Caenorhabditis elegans: one gene and its partners. The protein of the gene in region 2 purifies or fractionates together with the protein of the main gene of each other region. This does not show direct contact. Each region holds a gene or a part of one and is shown on either strand. Other genes may lie near its edges. The genes, in order: fbxl-3, ZK795.3 and hrg-11.4.

Region 1 (6,858 bases), on a different chromosome or scaffold from region 2:
CCTTAATAAGCCCGAGGCTTCTTGCTTCTTTTTCAGCCCATTCCGCCAATTTTCCATCGTCTGTAATTGGTGATTCTTCTTCTCCACAGACAGCATCAATGTAGAAACTTCCTGAAAATTTTTGAATAATAGTTTTTAAAGAACTAAATTAATCTTAAAACATACTTTGTGCGGTCAATGCTTCAAATTCATCATCCGAGCCTTCAGCGTCTGACGCTGATCCTCCAATGGCAAACTTGGATGACGAACATTGGCTTGTCTGCATCGTGACAATCGTGGAATAATCGGAAAAGTCGACGACTACTCTTGATCCTCGAACTGACAACTTTGAAGCATCAGCGGCAGTTCCACCGACAACGAGGGTGATTGGTGGAAGCTAAATTTTATTTTTAATTTTATCCATTTCCTCCTAACGAACCTTTGGTCCTGATGGGAATGCTTTGATAAACTGTTGAATCGAGTCATTTGATACTAAAATTGAACCACTTAGATCCACGTGGCGGATATTTGGCATTCTAAGCTTCGCACGCACACCATCATCACCAAGATATGTGCAATTTCTCAGTTGAATAATTTCCAACTTTTTCAGTGAGCCCAGTTGCTCTAAAACTTTTGAATTGACAGCTGCCAGCGACGATGCATCAAGCTGAGTCAGTTCTTTTAGATTTTTAATCGCTGAAACTCCTTCTGCAGTGATCGACGAATCGTTTCCAGCGTTAGCAAGACTGAGTGATGAAAGAAGCGGTAGACCAGCTGATATTGAGATAAGAAGCTCATCATTAACAAGAGCGTTGTAGTCAAGGCTGAAACATTGATAAATATAATTTTAATCATAGGTTCAGATGGAACTTACGCCAATTCTGTAATATTTCTCATGTGACTAATATGAATCAATCCGGCTGACGTTAAACTTTTGAATCCATCCCCACATAATGTTAAGATTGAAAGATCTTCCATTCTTCTAGCGATCATACTCAGATTCTCATCTGTGATTTTATAGCATTCATTGATCCGTAATTCTTTGAGACCTCCACAACTGGTGCATAAATCTTCAAAAGCCATCTCATCTACTTTTGATGATCCATCCAAATATAAACTTTCCAGTTGTGACCCGAATAATTTGAATGATCGTCCGTGGAGCCGTTTTGAATTTCGTAAATCCACAAATTTAAGTGAATGACCACAGTTTTTAAGTAAAAAGTAGAATGCCTTGTCTCCAGTTGTTTCCATTCCTCTATAAGATAGCTGTTCTAAATGTGAAAGTGATTCTCCAAGTTCTTCGAGAGCTTCAGCCTGAGCATGAGTTCCACTAATATCAAGATCAACTAAATTCGGACAGCATGTTGCGATGACTTTAAGTGCTCGGCGATCATCAAGAAGATGCACAATTCCAGAAACATCAAGTGACCTCAAGTGTGCACCAGCACGAGTAAGAATCGCCTGAAATTTTTTATTTTTTATTAACTTTTTAAAACTAATTTTTTTAAATTTCAGCTCAAACTCATTTTAAGATGACTTGTTCTCATTGGTCGTTGCTTGTTGAATACAGTTTCTCTTGCCAATGCAATTTTATTGACAAGTTCCCAGGATTTAATTGATTCTTCCATGAACTTTTTATTAACTCGTTCCAATCGAATTGTTTCGTGAATTGGTAAAAATGAGATGACCCTTCTAAGAATTTTATCCGGGACGTTTCCCAAATTGAATGATTGCTCGGATCCTGAAGCTAACGACTGTGTAGATGAAGCACGGGACAATGGAGTATCTTCACGACTTCCAACATCATCACTGAGCACGAGACCTTTACCTCCACGTTTTTTCGATACATACTACAAGATAAATTGGTTTAAAAATTAAATCCCAAATCAAAAACTTACAGCTGAGACAACCATAACTTGATCATAAAACTTCAACTCTTCAGGATTCGCATTTTTCGCGCGATCAGCATGCTCAGACTTTCTGCAAAAATTGTATTATTAAAAAGACCTGAACAAACCAAAAAAATTTAAATTATACTTAAAAGTAATAGTAGCAGTTCCACAATTTCTGGAATGCTTTGGAAGTGTTCCGAACACTGATGTCTTTTTCTCTTCGCGAGGCAGAATGCAGCTGGTTATCTGGAAATTTAATTTTAAAATTTTATATTTAAATGATAATTAAAACAACACACTTTTCCATATTGAGAAAAGAAGGATTGAAGCTGTGATTGGGTGACTTTAGCAGAAATATTCGAAACCACGATTTTTCGATCATCACGAGAAGTATGTTGGAAAGCGATAGATGCATCGAAATCTGAAAAAAAAAACAATTATTGATTTTTTTTCCAAATTTTAAGATTTATTACCGTCTGTTTCTCCTCCATCAAATGCATCTCCATCGGCGAGTAACATTGGTAAAAGTCGTCGATATTTCATAAACTCTGCGGCAGAGTGGGACCAAGTTCGCCTGAAAATATTTTAATTTTAATTTAGAAAAAACCAGAGCTAAAATGTTGATATTACCTCAATTTTCCAATACTGAAAAACCGTGCCCTTGTGACAAATGACTGAAATGCTTCAGTCATATCATGAAGCCCTCGGCTCTCCAAGTTCTGTCCATGAAGCCGGCGGAGTGCTTTGAACATACTCTGAAAAATTGAAAATGTGTGAAAAAAACGTTTTTTCGAGAGAAAAGATAACAGAACCATATGATTTGATTTGGCTACTGTTCCCTAGTGTTTTCTTATCACATTAACATTTATTTGGTAGACAAAAAATCGAATTGTGTTCTCTAACCTGTTGTGATTTAGCACTTCCAGCGCTCCCGAGGTTCGATGTGAAGCTTCGATTGAAATCCATTTTTTAGGTTTAACTGTTTTCTGAAATTGAAACATTAATAATAAATTTGAAAACAATTTTGATCGATTTTCACTAGTCGTTGTTCGGAGGAGGAATGGCGCATGTTTACCAGTGAGTCGGGTTAGAGATTATACGGAAGTGAAGAGACGCAGAAAACGGGACATTCGGATGCTTGGGGACACATTGGTCACTATGAAACGTTCAAAAGCACCAATTCAAAGAAAATCTAGAAAATTTGCAGTTTTTGAACAGCTTTTAAATTTAAAATCATGCTTTAAAAGACCTTGTTTTTTGTTAACTTTGAAGGCAAAGGGTATTTGCAATAACGATTTTACATTAACACAAACTTATATATCCATTTTTGGAAATACTAAAATAAATTCAAAAAAACACAATGAAACATATTTACAAACGAAATGAAAGCCGGCAGCTTCAATAAAATAAAAAATAATTGTTGAAAAAATATAATTAAAGAAAGCTGCACACTGTGCGGCACAATTGCGAAAAAGCGGGCCGCAGTTTGCATGAAAGACCACGCCCACTATTTTAGATTTCGAATTTGTTTTTTTACTCTAATTTTCTATTGTTCGAGTTTTTCGGAATTAAAACTGCTTTAAAGAATTATTTTATTAAATTTTTTATCTGTAAATTTCAGGATGGACCAGCTTGAGCACCTCTCACTTGTGAGCAAGGTCCTCAGTGAAGTTGAGAACCATTTTGGTGTCGTCGAAAAAGATGTCGCTGAGTTTGTTATTCATTTGGCTCAAGAGAATCCAACATTTGATAAACTGAAAAAGGCTTTGGATAGTCAGGGACTTGGGGATCAGGTATGTTGAAATATGAGAAAATTTAACGACTAAATTATTTTTTTAAAGGAAATTTCAAAATTATTTTAATTCAAGGTGTTTTAAAATATTTTGATGAATATCAAATATCGAGATTTAAAAAAAACATTATTCGTCTCATAAATATAAAAGTCTCGATATTCCTCTCTTTAATTCTAAATTTCAGTTTGATGATTCCCTCACTGCGACCATACTTCGTATAGTACAAAGCATGACTGCTGTTAAAAAGAAAAACAAGAAAGGTGGTGATTCAAAAGAAGATATCAAGGATTCACACAAAATTACATTGATTTCTGATGCAAAAGAAGAAATTAAAGCACGACTTCCAGCTCTAGCGATGGCAAATACTGCGAAAGAAAAGGAAGATAATGAAGATGATCTTATGGCTCAGTTAGAAAAGATGGAAGGCCGATATGAAAGTGAGGTACGTATCTTTGATATTTGAAATTTGTTAAAATAAATTTTCCATTTACAGAAACGTCTTCAAAAGGAATCAGATTCAAAACGAAACCGTTCAAGAAGTCGATCAAGGAGTCGTGATCGAAAACGAAGAAGAAGTCGTAGTGGTGACAGGGATCGTCGGAGACGTAGTAGGAGTCGTGAAGACAGAAGAGATCGAGATAGGAGGGATCGGGACAGAGACAGAGACAGAGGACGTGGGGATCGAAGAGGAGACGACAGACAAAGAGATCGGCGTGATCGACGAGATGATGGTGGTGCTAGAAAATCCGAAGTTGCAGAAATCGGAAAAATCTACGATGGTCGTGTAAACAGTATTCAATCGTTCGGAGCTTTCATCACACTGGAAGGTTTCCGTCAAAAACAAGAAGGACTTGTTCACATCTCCCAAATTCGAAATGAACGAGTTCAAACCGTCGCAGATGTTTTGAAAAGAGGAGAAAATGTCAAAGTTAAAGTTAATAAGATTGAAAATGGAAAAATCTCGTTGTCAATGAAAGAAGTCGATCAGAATAGTGGAGAAGATTTGAATCCACGCGAGACCGACCTGAATCCGGATGCAATCGGAGTTCGTCCACGGACACCGCCAGCATCAACTTCCTCGTGGATGAATCCTGAAGCAAGTGGAGTAGGACAAGGTCCTTCGACCTCAATTGGTGGTGGAAAGGCGAGAGTTCGAATTTCGACACCTGAACGGTGGGAATTAAGACAAATGCAAGGAGCCGGAGTTCTCACAGCCACAGATATGCCTGATTTTGATGAAGAAATGGGAGTTCTAAGAAATTATGATGGTGAGTATTTTATTTATGATCTAGTAATTAATGATAAATTTGAAAAAAAAATTATTTTCTCTTGAAAATCACTAAATTATTTTTGAATTCCGCGCAAATGGTGCTTTATTTTGCTTACCGTATTTCCTCTATTAGTCTTGCACCCCTACGGGTCAATCTAAAATTAGTCTTGCAGCCTCTATTAGTATTGCATGCAAGACTAATAGAGAACATACGGTATTAGTCTTGCACCCCTATTCTTGCCAGACCAGCAGTATTTTGTGAAAACTTCAACAATTTCGCCATTTTATAGCTAAATTAAATTTTAAAGTGTTAAAATAATTGATAAAACAATAGAAAAGTATGTATTTTGCATGATTTAGACTGTTTCAAGTCAAATTTGTGACGATAAATGGCCAATTGAACAAATCTATCGGGTCTTCGAAAATTAGTCTTGCAGCCTCTAATAGTCTTGCAGTCTCTATTAGTCTTGCACCCCTACGGGTCAATCGAAAATTAGTCTTGCATGCAAGACTAATAGAGGAAATACGGTATATGATTTTTTAAAAATAATTTATATTTAAAAAAAAAACTGCAAAATTTTTTTAATTGAAAACAATTTCAATTTCTCTTGAAAATGACTAAAAATGATGTTTTACAGACATTTTTCCTTAAAAATTGACAGTAATTTATCGTTTTTAAGCCGATTTTTTATTTTCAACAAAATTTAAATTTGGTTTTCTTTACTGAAAAATGCCAAAGTATGACAAAAGATGCATCGGAGAATAAATATCGAATTTAGCCTGAAAAATGCGAATACTTTACAATTACGGCAATAATTTTCCCGGGAATTCAAATAAAATTAAAAATTAAGCAAGATTGAAAAAAAAACATGAAAAAAATGATGGTATAAAATTTATGATTTAATAATTTATCAAGAAAAATTGTAAAATTTTTTGAATTAAAACAAATTAATTTTTCCTGAAAATGACTAAATTGTTTTTGAATTCGCGCACGCAGACATTTTTCCTCAAAAATCGACACTAATTTATCGTTTTTAAGACGATTTTTTAGTTTCAACAGACAAGCCAAAATATGACAAAAGTTGCATATATCAAAGGAAAAATTTCGAATTTAGCAGGAAAATGCGAAAAATTACAAGGAAATGATTTTCCCGATAATTCAAAGACAATTTTTAAAAAAGCTAAATTTAAAAAAAAATCATTAAATATTTAAAATAAAGTTTCTATCATTTAAAGCACAACAATTTTTCAATTTTCAGATGAAAGTGATGGCGAGGATATTGAAATCGAGCTTGTCGAAGACGAACCTGACTTTTTACGTGGATATGGAAAAGGCGGTGCAGAAATAGAACCTGTAAAAGTTGTCAAAAATCCGGATGGTTCATTAGCTCAAGCAGCTTTAATGCAAGGTGCTCTTTCAAAAGAACGAAAAGAAACGAAAATTCAAGCACAACGAGAGCGTGATATGGATACACAGAAAGGATTCAGTTCAAATGCTCGAATTCTTGATCCTATGTCTGGAAATCAGTCGACTGCGTGGAGTGCTGATGAGTCAAAGGATCGGAATAATAAAATGAAAGAAATGCCAGAATGGTTGAAACATGTGACAGCTGGTGGAAAAGCGACTTATGGAAGAAGAACCAATTTGAGTATGGTTGAGCAGAGAGAAAGTCTTCCGATCTTTGCGTTGAAAAAGAATCTGATGGAAGCAATGATTGATAATCAAATTCTTGTCGTTGTTGGAGAAACTGGATCAGGAAAGACTACTCAGATGACACAATATGCAATTGAAGCTGGACTTGGAAGACGTGGTAAAATTGGATGTACCCAGCCTCGTCGTGTTGCAGCAATGTCCGTAGCAAAGCGTGTGGCAGAAGAGTACGGTTGTAAGCTGGGAACTGATGTTGGATATACAATTCGTTTC
Region 2 (6,858 bases):
AAAAGTTCAATAAAATAATTTTCTTATAGTTAGCACCATACCTTTTAATTCATTGACACGGGACAACAATCTGTGAGTTTTCCCAACTCTGAAAAACTCCACAAATGTATATGATGTAAGCATATCATTTTTCTTACTTTAATTTTTCTTTTTTTTTTCGTTTTTAAAATTGTGGTAAATACCAATTTTTTTTTAAAGTTTGGAATTTTAAAATAATTTTCAAGCATTCTTACATGTCCGAAGCCTCTTCCACCTTACCTTTCAATTCTTGGTTTTTGGGCCACGCGATTTTGGACGATTTTTTCCAAATCTGAAAAGAAAAAATTATTTATCACTTTTTTAGATGTTGTTGGGATCAAAAATCAAAGTAGAACTAAAATTTTTAAAAATTGCAACATATTTAGAAAATGTATACTTTTGAGAAGTTTGGCTCATGTTTACATTTTAGAAGCTCTGTAATTAATTTTTAATAAAAAACAACTGTAAAAACACTCAATTTAAATTGATTATTACACATTTGAAATGATTATTTTTTGACTAGCAATTTTTTAACAACTTCCTCAAAAAAGGGTTTATCAAAGAAATCGTCAACTGGCATAATATTTTACAGTTTTTCTCTTGTTTTTATTTTCTTTAAATGCATTTTTGTAGATCAAACATCATCATTGAGTAAAAAATATCATTGATTAAAAACATGTTGAGTACTGCATTTTTATAAAAACTCGGTGCTCAAAACTTGGAAAATAACTAAATTGGACGTAATGTGGGATATTTTAACGTTATGTTAAAAATTTTCCTATAAAAATTATTCAGCAGAAAATTTGCCCTTATATTTCGTCCCCATGACACTAATATGTTTCATTAAATTTTGGTGCCTTAATTTCATCAATACGTACCTTTTCAATCGGACATGATGAGTGGTAGGGATAGTAGCTAACCACAAAAATGTTAATTTCCGTTCGTAAATTAACAACTTTCAGCAAAAATTTAGCAATAGAAGAAATAGGTATCAGAAAAAAAAATAGGAGAACACCCACCAGGTATTCGAAAAGTAGAATGAATGGTTCTCTCCGCTAGTTGAATGCCATTTTATTCATTTTTTATTTGAATATTCCCATAAAAATCTCTGCGTCTCCAAATTCTTTCATACTATTTCTTTAATATATTTGCGTTTTGACAAGGGAACCGAGCCACGCGGCATATTCTACAGTAACCCATCAATGATGTCCCCGCTTTGCAAATCATTTATTAGAAGTTATATGGTGTCAGGCTGTCCCGTTGCTGTTTGATCTAACAAAAGAGCGGGAATTTGTTTCCCAGAAAAATGTGACGTAAGCTCTTCTCTTCTTATCCATGCAAAATTAGTTGAAAAGTCTGCGTCTCAACCCCCGCATTTTTCAAAGATCAAACCAAAAAGGGGTACTAGCTAATTGCGATCGCCGAAAATTCAAGCTCCTGGCTTCAAAGTCGTCTATAATTACAGTAGAAAAAACATGAACTTCAAAAAAAAAACATTTATTCGTTGCAAGTTTGCTTTTCTCTCCATTTCCACGTATCGACAGTTACTCCTTCTTGCTTCCACTACCTTTCTCCGATTTTTCCGATTTTTCCGATTTCTTCGATGAATCAATCAGCGGTTCCTTCTCACCGGCTTTCTGTGGTTTTTCCGATTTCTCAGACTTTACAGATTTTTCAGAAGCTTCCGGTTTTACAGCTTTCTCCGATTTTTCAGCGGTCTTCTGCTCATGCTTCTTTTGTTTCTCCTGTTCCAGCTCTTTTTGCTTCTTTGCCTCATTGTATCTGGAAGAGAAAACCAGGTTAAAAAAATCTTCCATTGTGCATCTCATACCTTGACAAACTTCCCATGAACATGATGACCAGTAAAGAGCACAAAGCGAGTCCCATAAGTGCAATTATGGCCTTCAAAATTCGTCGGTTCCGTTTTTCTTCGCGTTCGGCTGAAATATTTTTGCGTGAATATTTTTCCAGAAAAATTGTGACGTCAGCGGGCTCTTAACCATGCAAAACCAGATGAGATGCCTGCGTCTCAGCTCCCGCATTTTTTCGAAGATCAAATCGAAATAAGACATTATGACTCCATGGAGGGGGGGGGGAGTTACCGTACCTGTTTCTGGATATTCATCCGGAATCCGACTCAGCGGAGCCATAAACTTTGGTTCGAGGATTTTGATCAGTTGGTCCATGGATTTTACAGTTTTTGGTTTTGCAGAACCCGTCTCTGATGAGTTGAAGATTATCTGAAAAATTCGGTGATTTCGGCATATTCTTAAATTGCAAATTAAATTTTCCACGAGTTTTCAGTGTAAAAGGTTCTAAAACCTTGCACTAGAGGAGAACTACACTTTTTTTGGTAGAGCTCACTTGCATTTTGTGATTTTTCAAATAAAATTTTTACCTTTGCGGTGAAAGCCAAATCTTCATCAGTTTGGGACAAAGTTGGGTACTTTTCGATCTGAAATTCGAATTTAAAAAAGTGATCCGACATCTCGGCAACTCACATTCAAAACCCCAAAACTTTGACGTCCCCACTCAGGATCACACTTCAATTTTTGGCTGGTATGTCTGAAAAAAACCCCTTTTTATCAGAATATAAAAAAAGGTCCATGAGGCCAAGACAATTCTCCGAAGAAATTTCAAGCCTACTTTTTGATAACCAGAATGAAGTCGGCTCGCATCTTTGATCTATCGACACCTCCGATGAATTCGCAAATACTTCCGTTCTCATGAACGAATATTTGCGGAGATTTCACCTGATGCTTTGCAATGTACAAGGCAATCTGGAAAAACCAAACATTTAAAAATTCGTGACTTGCGCGTGAAATCTGATGCATAATGTGACCATGTACTCACGTAGGGCAAGGTTGTCCCATCACGGTTTGATCTACAAAAAAATGCGGAAATTTTTCGCCCAAAAAAAATGTGACGTCAGCACGTTCTTAACCATGCAAAATCAGTTGAGAACTCTGCGTCTCTTTTCCCGCATTTTTTGTAGATCTACGCAGATCAAGCCGAAAGGAGACACTCTGGCATCACGTATGTACCGCACACTTTCCGATGCACCATGTCTGACAAGATTTCAAATATTACCCCGTCAATTGTCTTTTGCCAGGCGACATCAGTGTCCTTCCCCATCACGACCATCTTAATTGCACCTGAACCGGAAAGTGAACCACTTTGAGAATGACATGGGCTGGAAATTAAACTTTTAAGAAATAGAACTAGAACTTGACAGAAAAGTCTGGAATTTCTCACGAAGAGATCTGAAACATTGGAATTTCCACTCTTCCAACTCACCTTATAGCCAAGAACAGTAAGAAACCAATGGATATGATCATTACTGAACAACGAATCGATTTGATTTCACAATGATTGATTTTTTGGATTAATTATTGCTTTCTTTAATTTCAAATGTTGAATATTTGCCAAATGGCAAACGGTCACGTTTTGTTTTATTTTTCGGAGTTTTATTTTTCAAGTACAAAACAATATCGATTAATTAATTTTTCTAGATTTTAATTAATTATTTTATTTATGATAAAATTCCATGAGTTTCAACGAAATACTTCTTGAACTTTTTCAGAAAAAAACTAAATTTAAAACTCGCGCGCATTTTCTTGCAGGTACACTTTTGCGTACATTACGTATGAGGCATTTCATCTGACGCACAATAGTTTTATTTATTTTTTCTTAGGCATTTTTATGGGAAATTTCGATGTTATATTCGATTTACATCTGATTTTAATTTTAAAAATTGAATTTTTGAAAAATTTCAGAATGATTCGCCGCGAGAATCGTCTTCGCCGCGAGTTTATCTTCCGAAAATCGTTGGAGGAGAAACAGAAAAGTTTGGAGGAAAAACGAGAGAAAATTCGCAATGCTTTGGAGAATAATACGTTAGTTTTTTTGCTTTTATATGTTGAAAAATTCGTAATATACGAATATTTTCAGAAAAATCGATTATAATCTGCGAAAAGACGCAATCGAATTGGCGAAAGGCTCCGATTGGGGAGGACAGGTAATTTTCGCGATTTTTGATGAAGTTTCAATAATTTTTGTTCAGCAATACGAAACAGACAGCGAGTATCGTTGGGCTGGAGCTCAAGATCCAAAAATTGTGATCACGACGTCCCGTGATCCATCAAGTCGGCTGAAAATGTTCGCCAAGGAGATGAAGCTCATCTTTCCAAACGCACAGAGAATCAATCGTGGTCATTATGATGTTAAGCAAGTTGTGCAAGCGTCCAAGGCTCAAGATGTTAGTGGAAAATTGAATATTTGAAATTTTATCAGCTTTTCAGTAATTTTCTAATATGAAATTAATTTTTCAGTCAACGGATCTGATTATCTTCACGGAGACACGTGGAAATCCAGATGGAATGCTTGTTTGTCATCTTCCATTCGGTCCAACTGCATTCTTTTCAATGGCAAATGTCGTAATGCGACACGATATTCCAAATTGTGGAACAATGTCCGAACAGTATCCACATTTGATTTTCGACAATTTAAATTCGAAATTGGGACATCGTTTCACCACAATCCTCAAACACTTGTTCCCGGTGCCAAAACCGGATTCAAAGCGAATCATCACATTTTCCAATTCAGAAGATTACATCAGTTTCAGACATCACGTCTATAAAACTGAAAATGACGGAGAAGTCGAACTGACTGAAGCTGGACCAAGATTTGAGCTCAAACGTAAGAAAATTTTGATAAAAGAGCGGAAATTGAAACAATTATGGGCATTTTCTATTTTATCGAAGCACAATTTTGCGCTGAAATTAAACACTAAGCGAGAAATATGAAATATTCACATTTCAAAGTATTTTGATTTTTTTTTTAATTTCCAAATTTTCAGCCTACCAAATCAAGCTGGGAACTCTCGAGACTCTGGCGGCTGCCGAAGACGAATGGGTGCTCAGATCCTACACAAATACTGCCCGTAAACGTACATTCCTCAGCATCTCCAGAGCTGATGACGACGAATGAAAATATTTTGTTCTCTAAAAATGTTTTGTTGATTTTTATTGTTTTCTCCTTGAAATTGTTTTTGTTTCGTTCATGAAATTAATTTTTATTCGAAAAAAGATTTTTAGAATTTTTGATTCAAAAATTACAGAACATTTAAAAATTGTCGAAATAATAACAACCATTGTTTAGCTCACGGCGGCAGGACATGGGGACGGGCGGCGGGAAAATATTATGAATTCAAAGATCAAAGCCTGTCAAGACAGTTTCAAATTTAAAACAGTTCTGGAATAACGGACACTAATTACTGCATGAATCATCAACCACCACCAGTGAGCCGTGTCGGTTGGGACGATCAAAAGATTATGAGAACAAGAAGAGAATTGGATTCGGTGAAGGCCATTATGAAGGAGAATGTGCAAAAAATCATGGAGAGACAGGGAAAACTTGATGATCTTGTTGAAAGAGCTCAGAGGCTCGAGGAGGCATCGGATGTGTACGTCAAATGCGCCGTCAAGATAAAACGAGAGATGAGCTGGAAGGCCAATTCTCTTCGCTACGGGATCATTGCTGTGTCAAGTGTCTCCGCATTTGCAGGACTTGCCTATTCGTTCCTATAAATCATTTCTCTATCAAAACTATTTATTGGCATTACGCTTTGTGTGTACAATAAATAATGGAATGTAGTGATCATTTAAAGGCACACAGGGGTCTTGCGGCGTTTAAATGACACAGGAGATACAAAAAACTGATGAAAGTGGAATTACAGGTGATGTAAAGGATCAAAGAAGACTGAGAAAGTGGCAATTGGGGATTAGAGGTTCCGGAGCCTATTCACCATCGGGCAGGGGAGCCGGATCACGAAAAGCTTTTGAATGCACCAATATTCACTCTTGTTTTTTTTAAATGAACCGGTCAACACATGTACGGCATCATGCACTGCTTTGTGAACCACTCCATTCTTATTGACTGGGGCTACTTTCAGAACAAATCCTCTCTCATTAACAGAAATGAGAGCAGCGGCTGGAATTTCGTCCGAAGCCGGGTTTCGTCTGGATCCGCGGTGTGCTTTCTGAAAATACGATGTATGACTGGGAATGACCGGCTTCAGCGATTTTCAAATAAAATTATATAATCAAGAATTAGAATATCGTTATGAGACTTCTCAAAAAATTTTATGGCGGTTCAAAATTTCGAAAAAAATTGATCTGATTTTTTAGTAACGAATTTCGTTATTTTGAGACTTGGCTCAAAATATCCCCAAACCGTTAGTCGTTCTTTGAATCTACGAAAAACATTTAGTGCAACTTTCATATCAGGTTTTTGAAGTTTGAAACGAAATCCTACTATGTAGTAGGGGAGAGATGGCGGCTTGTATGTGCATTTTCTGTAGAAAAAAAATGAACCGGTCAACACATGTACGGCACCATGCACTGCTTTGTGAACCACTCCATTCTTATATATACCGAAATTTTCAGATTTTCGATTTAAAAAATTTCATGAAATATTTCAATGTTTTGTTTTTGAAAGTTTAGAAATTGGGAAAAATGTAGAATTTACCAGATAATTTTGGATGTGCAATTTTGAAAAAATTGCAAAAATATTGAAAATTTTTTTTGAAATTTGAAAATTTACTTCCAAAAAAGTCGAAATTTCTTCAGAAAAAATCCGAAAGTCTTGTTATTTTCCCATTTTTTTTCGTGCAGTTCGGGAAAATGAGTAGAAACTTGAGAAAGAAACGAAGAAATCAGGAGAACGTGAAATACAATACTCTTCAAAGACACACTGTCTTGCACGAAAATGTTGCAATCGTGTCGAGACCTGCTGCTGTACTTTTGCGTCGGATTTGTAATATACCCTATACAAGTGCAT
Region 3 (6,858 bases), on a different chromosome or scaffold from region 2:
ATCAGAGTCCGTTCAGAAAGAACAATTCCAAGATCAGCTATCAACAGGTGAATTTAATGCGCCTACATATTACTCCATTAATCAAATGAATTTCCAGATTTGCAATTGGTTCACACAAAAACGCTCGAGTTCCCGTACCTTAGCTCCAGTAGACCTAGTGCAGGTCTCGTCAGCTCAGACAGCGGCGCAGCTGCTCCCGGGATTCCAACTCAACTTGCTCCAGTCCCTGTTTGGAGAACAACGTCAAAAATTTGATTTTTACGACAAACTGGATGAAACCAAGATTGTCGGCGGCTCCGACTCGCCATCTCCAGCCGATGATGAGATTCATAGCAATTCAGATGAAACTATTCAAGATACTTTGTTTTCCATCAATATTAAACCAGAACCGGAAATTGTAAGTTACGTTTGACTGTTTGTGCCATAGTTAGGTTGATTAGCGTTGCTCGTGCTGAAAAGCTTTGAAAAATCACGCTAAAAACGGATTTTCGGCTATTTCGATTCTGATTCACATTAAAGATAACATCTCCCAAATTGCTAAATATTACCGATAAGGTTATAAAGACCTAACACTACGGCCGAAAATCTGAATTTATTCCAAACTGTCAGCGTCGGCTGAGCGCCAATTAAAAATATTTTTCGACACAATTATGGTCCACCTTTAAAAATTATTCATCCCAAAACAAGCAACATTTCCTACAGGATTCAATTGCATCCTCCCCGGATATGGCAAACTCAATGCGCGAATCATTGTCCTCGACCTCCCCAAAGCTTCTCAGCGGGCTCGACCTCGGAGCATTCAGCACCCACTCATCATCCACCAACTCCATGCAAAACGCCAACTCATCAGGTACAACAAAGAGCTTTAAAACAGACAGGCTAACGGAAAAGAGAGGGAGATGGGTTGAACCAAGAACTCATAAATTAGAAGCGAGCACACACACACAAACACACATAGACATACACAAAGTGCGCGAAGACACATAACAAAGGGAGAAATGTGGGGCGTCGAATTTCGCACAGACAACCATTACGATCACTGAGATCTGAGGAAAAAAAAATGAGGCTAGGTATTGTGTTTACAGAAATAAAACAGAAAATCAACTGCAAACTTGATTTTGAGAAATATTCTAGGGATTTTGTACTGGCTCAAACTTATCGAGAAGGTGGCCATGTTCATGATACTCAGTCTGAAAACCTATATTGGTTGCTATCTCTAAAACGCTCTTAGATTGCGTTTGCTATGCATATGAAAAATGACTGCATAAAAATTCTCTATCTTTTCGACAAGAAAACTTTAAGGTGGAATTTTACTTCTATTTTTCGATAAAATCACTGACGCGGAACGTTTGAAAAAATTCAACGATAAAGCAAATAATCTCCGTTTTAGTGTTTTCAGCGGCTCGCTCACGCCTGATGTTCGACCCACTCACCGAGCTACCCGTCCTCGAAAAATGGTTCGAAGAGAATCCTCACCCGACATGGATGCAAATCGATCAGTACACACAATGCTTGAACAACTGCGCTTATCGAGAGAATTATCCGCATATTAGTCAGCACAATGTGAAGGTAATATTCTATATTAATACTGATTACTAGTTATCGAATTCGAATTGCAGATCTGGTTCAAAAATCGACGTGCAAAATGCAAGCGATTGTTGAATGGAATGCAGGAAAAGCTTGAGCAGAAGGTTTTCGTATAAAATTAAAATTTCCAACTTTTTTCAAAATCTTATTATCTTTAATTTCGAAAGAACATTAAGTTTTTCACATCAATAGTTCCTTCTTTAACCGTCATACTGGTGTACCCCTTGAATTCCTGATCTTCAGTGCCCCACAATTTCTCTTCAACGAAGAGCAAAATCACTACTTCATTTTTCATTCCAGCTGTGATTTTTGTCTGTAAGCTACACCTAATCGCTAGCTGTATATCTCGACGCATCTTTCGTTCTGCAAAACTTCTAGTCGCTTCTTGTCTTGTTTAACCTTGATGGGAAATTAAGCCGGCTTTAATTTCCTTCTTTCTTTCAATCAACAATTTCCCATCGCTTTCTTTGTCTCTTTCAATGTTCCACAGATCACATAGTTTTAATGGTTTTTCAATGTTTCCCTTCTTACCGTCACACTACTTTCCAATATTATTCATCTTAATTTTATGTCTACCACTTCCAATATCAATCTTGCCCACCGTTTTCTCAATTTTTTTTGTCAAATTTAAACTTTTCTCTGCTTTTCAGTTGTGCTTCAGCCCTTTATATGCCAAAAACTTTTATTCAGAATTTTGACATACAACCACGTTTATTTCTTTTTATTTGAATGTTTTGAGAAATAAAGTTTTTTTTTTCAGAAAAAAAATTTTACAAAAAATGGTCAATTTTTTATTTAAAAAATTGGCACACAAAAATAAAAACAGACATGATTGTAGGAGAAAATTTTCAGACTTTTCAAGAAATTATAACTTTTAAAAAGCTATTTTTGGAGAAAAAAGCTCCCTATTTTAACAATAAAGTTTTGAGCCATTTCACGCGTGCACCAAAAAAAATGTCTGAGAAAAATGTCAGGGGTACGAGTTGAGTTTTCCTTTTCAAATTTTTTGTAAAAAAATATTCAGAACACTATCTAGAGCGACAAAAAACTTGGTTGGTGAAAACTCGTTCTAAAATCTGGCACTGAAGTTACTTCCTTCCGCTAACAACTTGTCAGGTGCAATCTAAGTTTCGACTAAAAAAAACAATTATTATTTCAAAGCTGGATAATTTATTCGAATTTTCGAAATATTGCAGAACTGAAAAGAAAAGAAGTTTTCCATAAACTTGGATTGTCAGTCAAATCTTGCAAGGACGTACACGTTGTAGGTTTGCCTTGGAAGAGGTCGTCCACTTCAACATGCAGTCCAGTTATACTCACTAGGAAAGTAATTTAACTCACTTTCAGACTTTCAAATTGAATTTATAAGAACTTAAAGCGGGTTTTCATCAAAAAATAACAATGGAATATAAAGAAGTCGATTTGATATTCTCCGAGCACGTTTTCACTGCTTTTGTAACGTTTGCAACTATTACAAATGAGGAAGTTTGCAATTTTGTAATGCTTTTAATAAAGTCTAAAAATAGGCAAAACAATTTAATAAATTTTTTTTTTTAAATATTTCAGAATTTTTGTTCAGCCTAAAACGTCTTAACAATTGCCTCAAAATCTTTTTAAAGCAGTTTTATTTATACTTTTGCGGAAACTTTGCAATAATCCTATAAATAGCATAAATAAACATTTTTTAAAGTGAAAACAAAGTTTCATTGGTGGTTTAAAAAATTTATAAAGCTTTATAGAACGTTGCCAGTGTAATACAACTGTTAAAACATAACTCACTTGAATAAATCACATGAAAAATTGTTTGATTAATAAAAAAACTTGTAAGTAACAAAAAACCTGCAAGTTCTCGACTGTAAAAACAACAGCTGGAAGCAAAGTGGAACGCTTAACCATTTTTATTTCTGTTTCCCACTGTCTTTTCCAGAAGTTCCTGAAATGTAAACATTTTAAACTGAATTTTCACAACACATCAACCTCTGCTCTATTCGAATTCTAGATGAGAACAACTTGCCAATGGAAGAGTATAATCGCATTATCAGTGACAACTAATTTAAGAGCCTCAATTGGATAAACTAACTTTTTCAAACAAAAAAAACCTGATAACAATTTTATTTAGTTTTATTTAATTATTACATTAAGAAATATCTTCTAAATAAAGACGATTTTTCAGTAAAATGCTCAAATTTGTAATTACAAGTATTCTACTACTGCGGGTCTGTAGTGGAGTAAGTATTCCCAATAAAAGTCAACACGGCGAACTAACGAAAAGCTGTAAGTTTAAGTAAAAAACACGTAAAATTGAAAATATTGGCAAAAGTTTGACATATTGAAAAAACACAGCAGGCTTACTTAAAAATGTTTACATCATAAGTTCTGGTCCGAGTCACAACTACACGAAAGGTATTGAGCTCACTTTTGTGCTTCTAGCGGGAATTTTTATTTGATGAATTAAATAACCAACTAAGAACAATTTTTTCAAGAGTGAATTTGGTGGAAACGCCAGTGGATTCTCTTTCTGGCTAGGCCAAGCCAACACATTTAATAGAACCTCTTCAAATCTTTACAGAAAACGTTTTTTGACCAGTTTTAGCCAGAGGGATTAAATTTCAGTGAATTCGAAACTCAAACAACTTGTTGCACTAAATCTATCGGAACCTTCTCAACGGGTTCAACCTACCTTCTCTTCAAGACCGAAACTGTTGGATCAAACCTCTCCAGTGACATGCTACAATAAGTCAATTGATATACTGCCTCATGACGGTACTGCAAAATTTGGTGATTTAGTGGAGAGTGATTTCAGGTATACATTTTTAGTAGGGAATATTGTAGAAAATCGTGGAGTGCTCGGAGATTGCTAACCAGCAGTTCTAAAAATTGAGCCTGTGGGACATTTTCACTCAGTGTTTTCATTAAAATTTAGGAATAGAATCTGGAAAATGTTAATTCTAGTTAAAGGTGGAGTGGCGCCAGTGGGGAAATTTCTTTAAAACACGCCTATGGTACCAAAATGACCGAATATCATGATAAAAAAATGCAAAAATTTTTTCTAATTTTAAAATTTGAAAATTGAAAAAATCTCAGTTTTTGCCTAATTCCGATTTGAGTTTACGCCAATTGGATTTGTTCGATGGAGCGCACTTGCACGTTTTAATTTTAATTTATTGTTATTTTGTCATATTTTTCACCAATTTTCCATGTTTTCAATGTAGTTTTGTCTGAAATTTGACGAAAAAGTCAAAATAAATGCTAATTTTTGATTAAAAAGCTAATTCACAAGCGTGAGTCTGTGAAATCTGTAAATTCAAGTTCGAAATCGTTTAAATGCATGCATTTTCTTTCAAAATAACAATAAATTAAAATTAAAACGTGCAAGTGCGCTCCATCGAACAACTTCAATAGGCGGAAATTCAAATCGGAATTAGGCAAAAACTGAGATTTTTTTCAATTTTCAAAAAATCATATAAAATTTAGAAATTTTTTTTGAATTTTTTAATCATGATATTCGGTTATTTTGGTACCATAGGCGTGTTTTAAAGTACTCGAAAAAAAATACTCGAAAATTGTCAAAAACGTGAAACTTGTTGTTGATAGTAAAATTGCCATTTTTCATTTTTCCGGTTTCTATTTGCGATTTAATAATAATCTAAAACTCTATCTGGATTTTCATTACGTTATTCGAGAACCAATACCAGATTAATAACATGTTTCATAATACATACACATATCTTCAGTGCGACTTGCTCCGACACTTTCACTTTTTACGTCGACAATTTTATCGAAGAGTTCTTTGTAATTATCAATACACTCGACGCCCTCAATCCGCGGGCAACAGTTTATAATCCGATTGGAGGCGAAGTGTCCACATGCAAAGATATCACCACGGACGTCACTCAAACAATTCACCTTATCTGCAACGGAAAGAATGTTCACGGAACTGGAGCGTATACGGTTCAGCTCTCTGCAGATTTGAACAAGTGAGCACACAATTAAAACAAGATGACCCAAATTGTGAAAAAAAAATCAAAAAAAGACTCTTGAAATCTTATCTCATTTAAAAATAAAATCATTCAGACCGTGTATATTTGAAGTCCGAGCTCCAACAAAGCTGACAGTTGATGGTGGGTTTGTAGAGGATGTTCGTGACGATGACGTTCAGAAAGTAATATTTTCCACTGCAAATCAAGGAATATTCCGTTTCCCACTTGAAAATCAGGCAGCATTTTTAGCATTTAAAGTCGAGAGTGAAGAATTTCCAATTCATCCCGATGAGGTGCATCTTTATGTAAACGGCCTATTCGATCAGAAAATGGATTTGAACTTGAGGTGAATGTTTGAGAGTGATAAAAATTTGGAATTGAGTAATTTTTTTCTACATTATTCAATAGAATCAATTTTTCTACATTATTCAATTTTGGATGATCCAAAAAAATTGAAGGAAAGTAAACTTTTTTCTGTTGAAAAAAATACATGTTTATATTGCAGAAGCATTTTTTAATTCAAAAATAAAGCCTGAACATTTAGATTTAACAAAGATGAATCATGAACATAATTGCTTTGGCAGAAAAACCATTTTTCAGATACGGCTGCAGTACCCCTCATATCACTCAACAATCTTATAACTGTACGTCTCAAAACTTGTATCATGCCAAGTTCAGAGGTATTTCTCCTTTCTATTTTCTCCCTTCTCTCATTGTCGGTTTCTAGGATACGATAGTGATGGAAACAGGTTCCAGAGAATCTACGACTTTAGCTGTGACCTAAGTGAAATTACATTCACAACACCTTCCGTGCACGTTTCGACGACGCCAGCAAGGTTTTGTGAAAATGGAGGAATTCTGTATAATGAAACGGTACGTAGGTGGCTTTATTTTCAGGTGGACTGGGGCTGCCCGGCAAAAAAATTTTTTTAACTGGACTATATTTCGAAGGACAATCTTGGTATAATTTTCTATTTTGGTAAATAATTCTAGTAGTTGGTTTTTAGAGTTGGTTTTTAAAAAGTGTTCCAAATTAAAAAAAAAAAGAAATTTGCCAGATTTGAAAAGCTGAAGTATTTTGATTTGCATGTGAAATTGCAATTTAAAAAAAAGTGCAGAAACAGAACACAATTTGGAATGTTCGAAAATTTATAAAAAAGACAGAGAAAGGCAGAATTAAGCCTTGTAAGCTGCACGAGATGGGCATGGACAATATCCAGCATCTGGTCCTGGTGCGGCATCCTCTCCCTTTTGTCCTGGAACTCCATTCTTTCCTGGATGCCCTGGTGGT

The links.
Region 1: the proteins of ZK795.3 (region 2) and fbxl-3 fractionate together in Caenorhabditis elegans (co-fractionation; one large-scale study listed by BioGRID). This does not show direct contact.
Region 3: the proteins of ZK795.3 (region 2) and hrg-11.4 fractionate together in Caenorhabditis elegans (co-fractionation; one large-scale study listed by BioGRID). This does not show direct contact.

Annotation. Positions count from the first base shown.
Region 1 is NC_003280.10:5,396,046-5,402,903, forward strand, and holds the start of fbxl-3 (Putative RNA-binding protein EEED8.10), read right to left. Parts: upstream 2,858-6,858; 5' UTR 2,838-2,857; coding exon 2,775-2,837; intron 2,627-2,774; coding exon 2,502-2,626; intron 2,446-2,501; coding exon 2,345-2,445; intron 2,293-2,344; coding exon 2,171-2,292; intron 2,118-2,170; coding exon 2,017-2,117; intron 1,960-2,016; coding exon 1,878-1,959; intron 1,830-1,877; coding exon 1,506-1,829; exon of another isoform or gene 1,441-1,505; coding exon 854-1,440; intron 804-853; coding exon 419-803; intron 377-418; coding exon 166-376; intron 112-165; coding exon 1-111. Other genes in the region: putative pre-mRNA-splicing factor ATP-dependent RNA helicase mog-5, read left to right, coding at 3,494-3,664, 3,849-4,106, 4,158-4,932, 6,194-6,858.
Region 2 is NC_003282.8:12,555,571-12,562,428, forward strand, and holds ZK795.3 (Brix domain-containing protein ZK795.3), read left to right. Parts: upstream 1-3,794; 5' UTR 3,795-3,795; coding exon 3,796-3,914; intron 3,915-3,969; coding exon 3,970-4,036; intron 4,037-4,081; coding exon 4,082-4,276; intron 4,277-4,349; coding exon 4,350-4,716; intron 4,717-4,876; coding exon 4,877-5,007; 3' UTR 5,008-5,102; downstream 5,103-6,858. Other genes in the region: ZK795.2 (DsbC domain-containing protein), read right to left, coding at 1,563-1,800, 1,850-1,958, 2,126-2,258, 2,417-2,473, 2,520-2,583, 2,665-2,798, 3,109-3,211, 3,316-3,356; snb-7 (V-SNARE coiled-coil homology domain-containing protein), read left to right, coding at 5,298-5,606.
Region 3 is NC_003284.9:422,532-429,389, reverse strand, and holds the start of hrg-11.4 (VWFA domain-containing protein), read left to right. Parts: upstream 1-3,754; 5' UTR 3,755-3,764; coding exon 3,765-3,861; intron 3,862-4,200; coding exon 4,201-4,390; intron 4,391-5,321; coding exon 5,322-5,564; intron 5,565-5,661; coding exon 5,662-5,913; intron 5,914-6,167; coding exon 6,168-6,247; intron 6,248-6,294; coding exon 6,295-6,440; intron 6,441-6,698; exon of another isoform or gene 6,699-6,743; coding exon of another isoform or gene 6,744-6,858. Other genes in the region: Homeobox protein dve-1, read left to right, coding at 1-47, 98-397, 703-850, 1,391-1,569, 1,620-1,703; col-19 (Cuticle collagen 19), read right to left, coding at 6,744-6,858.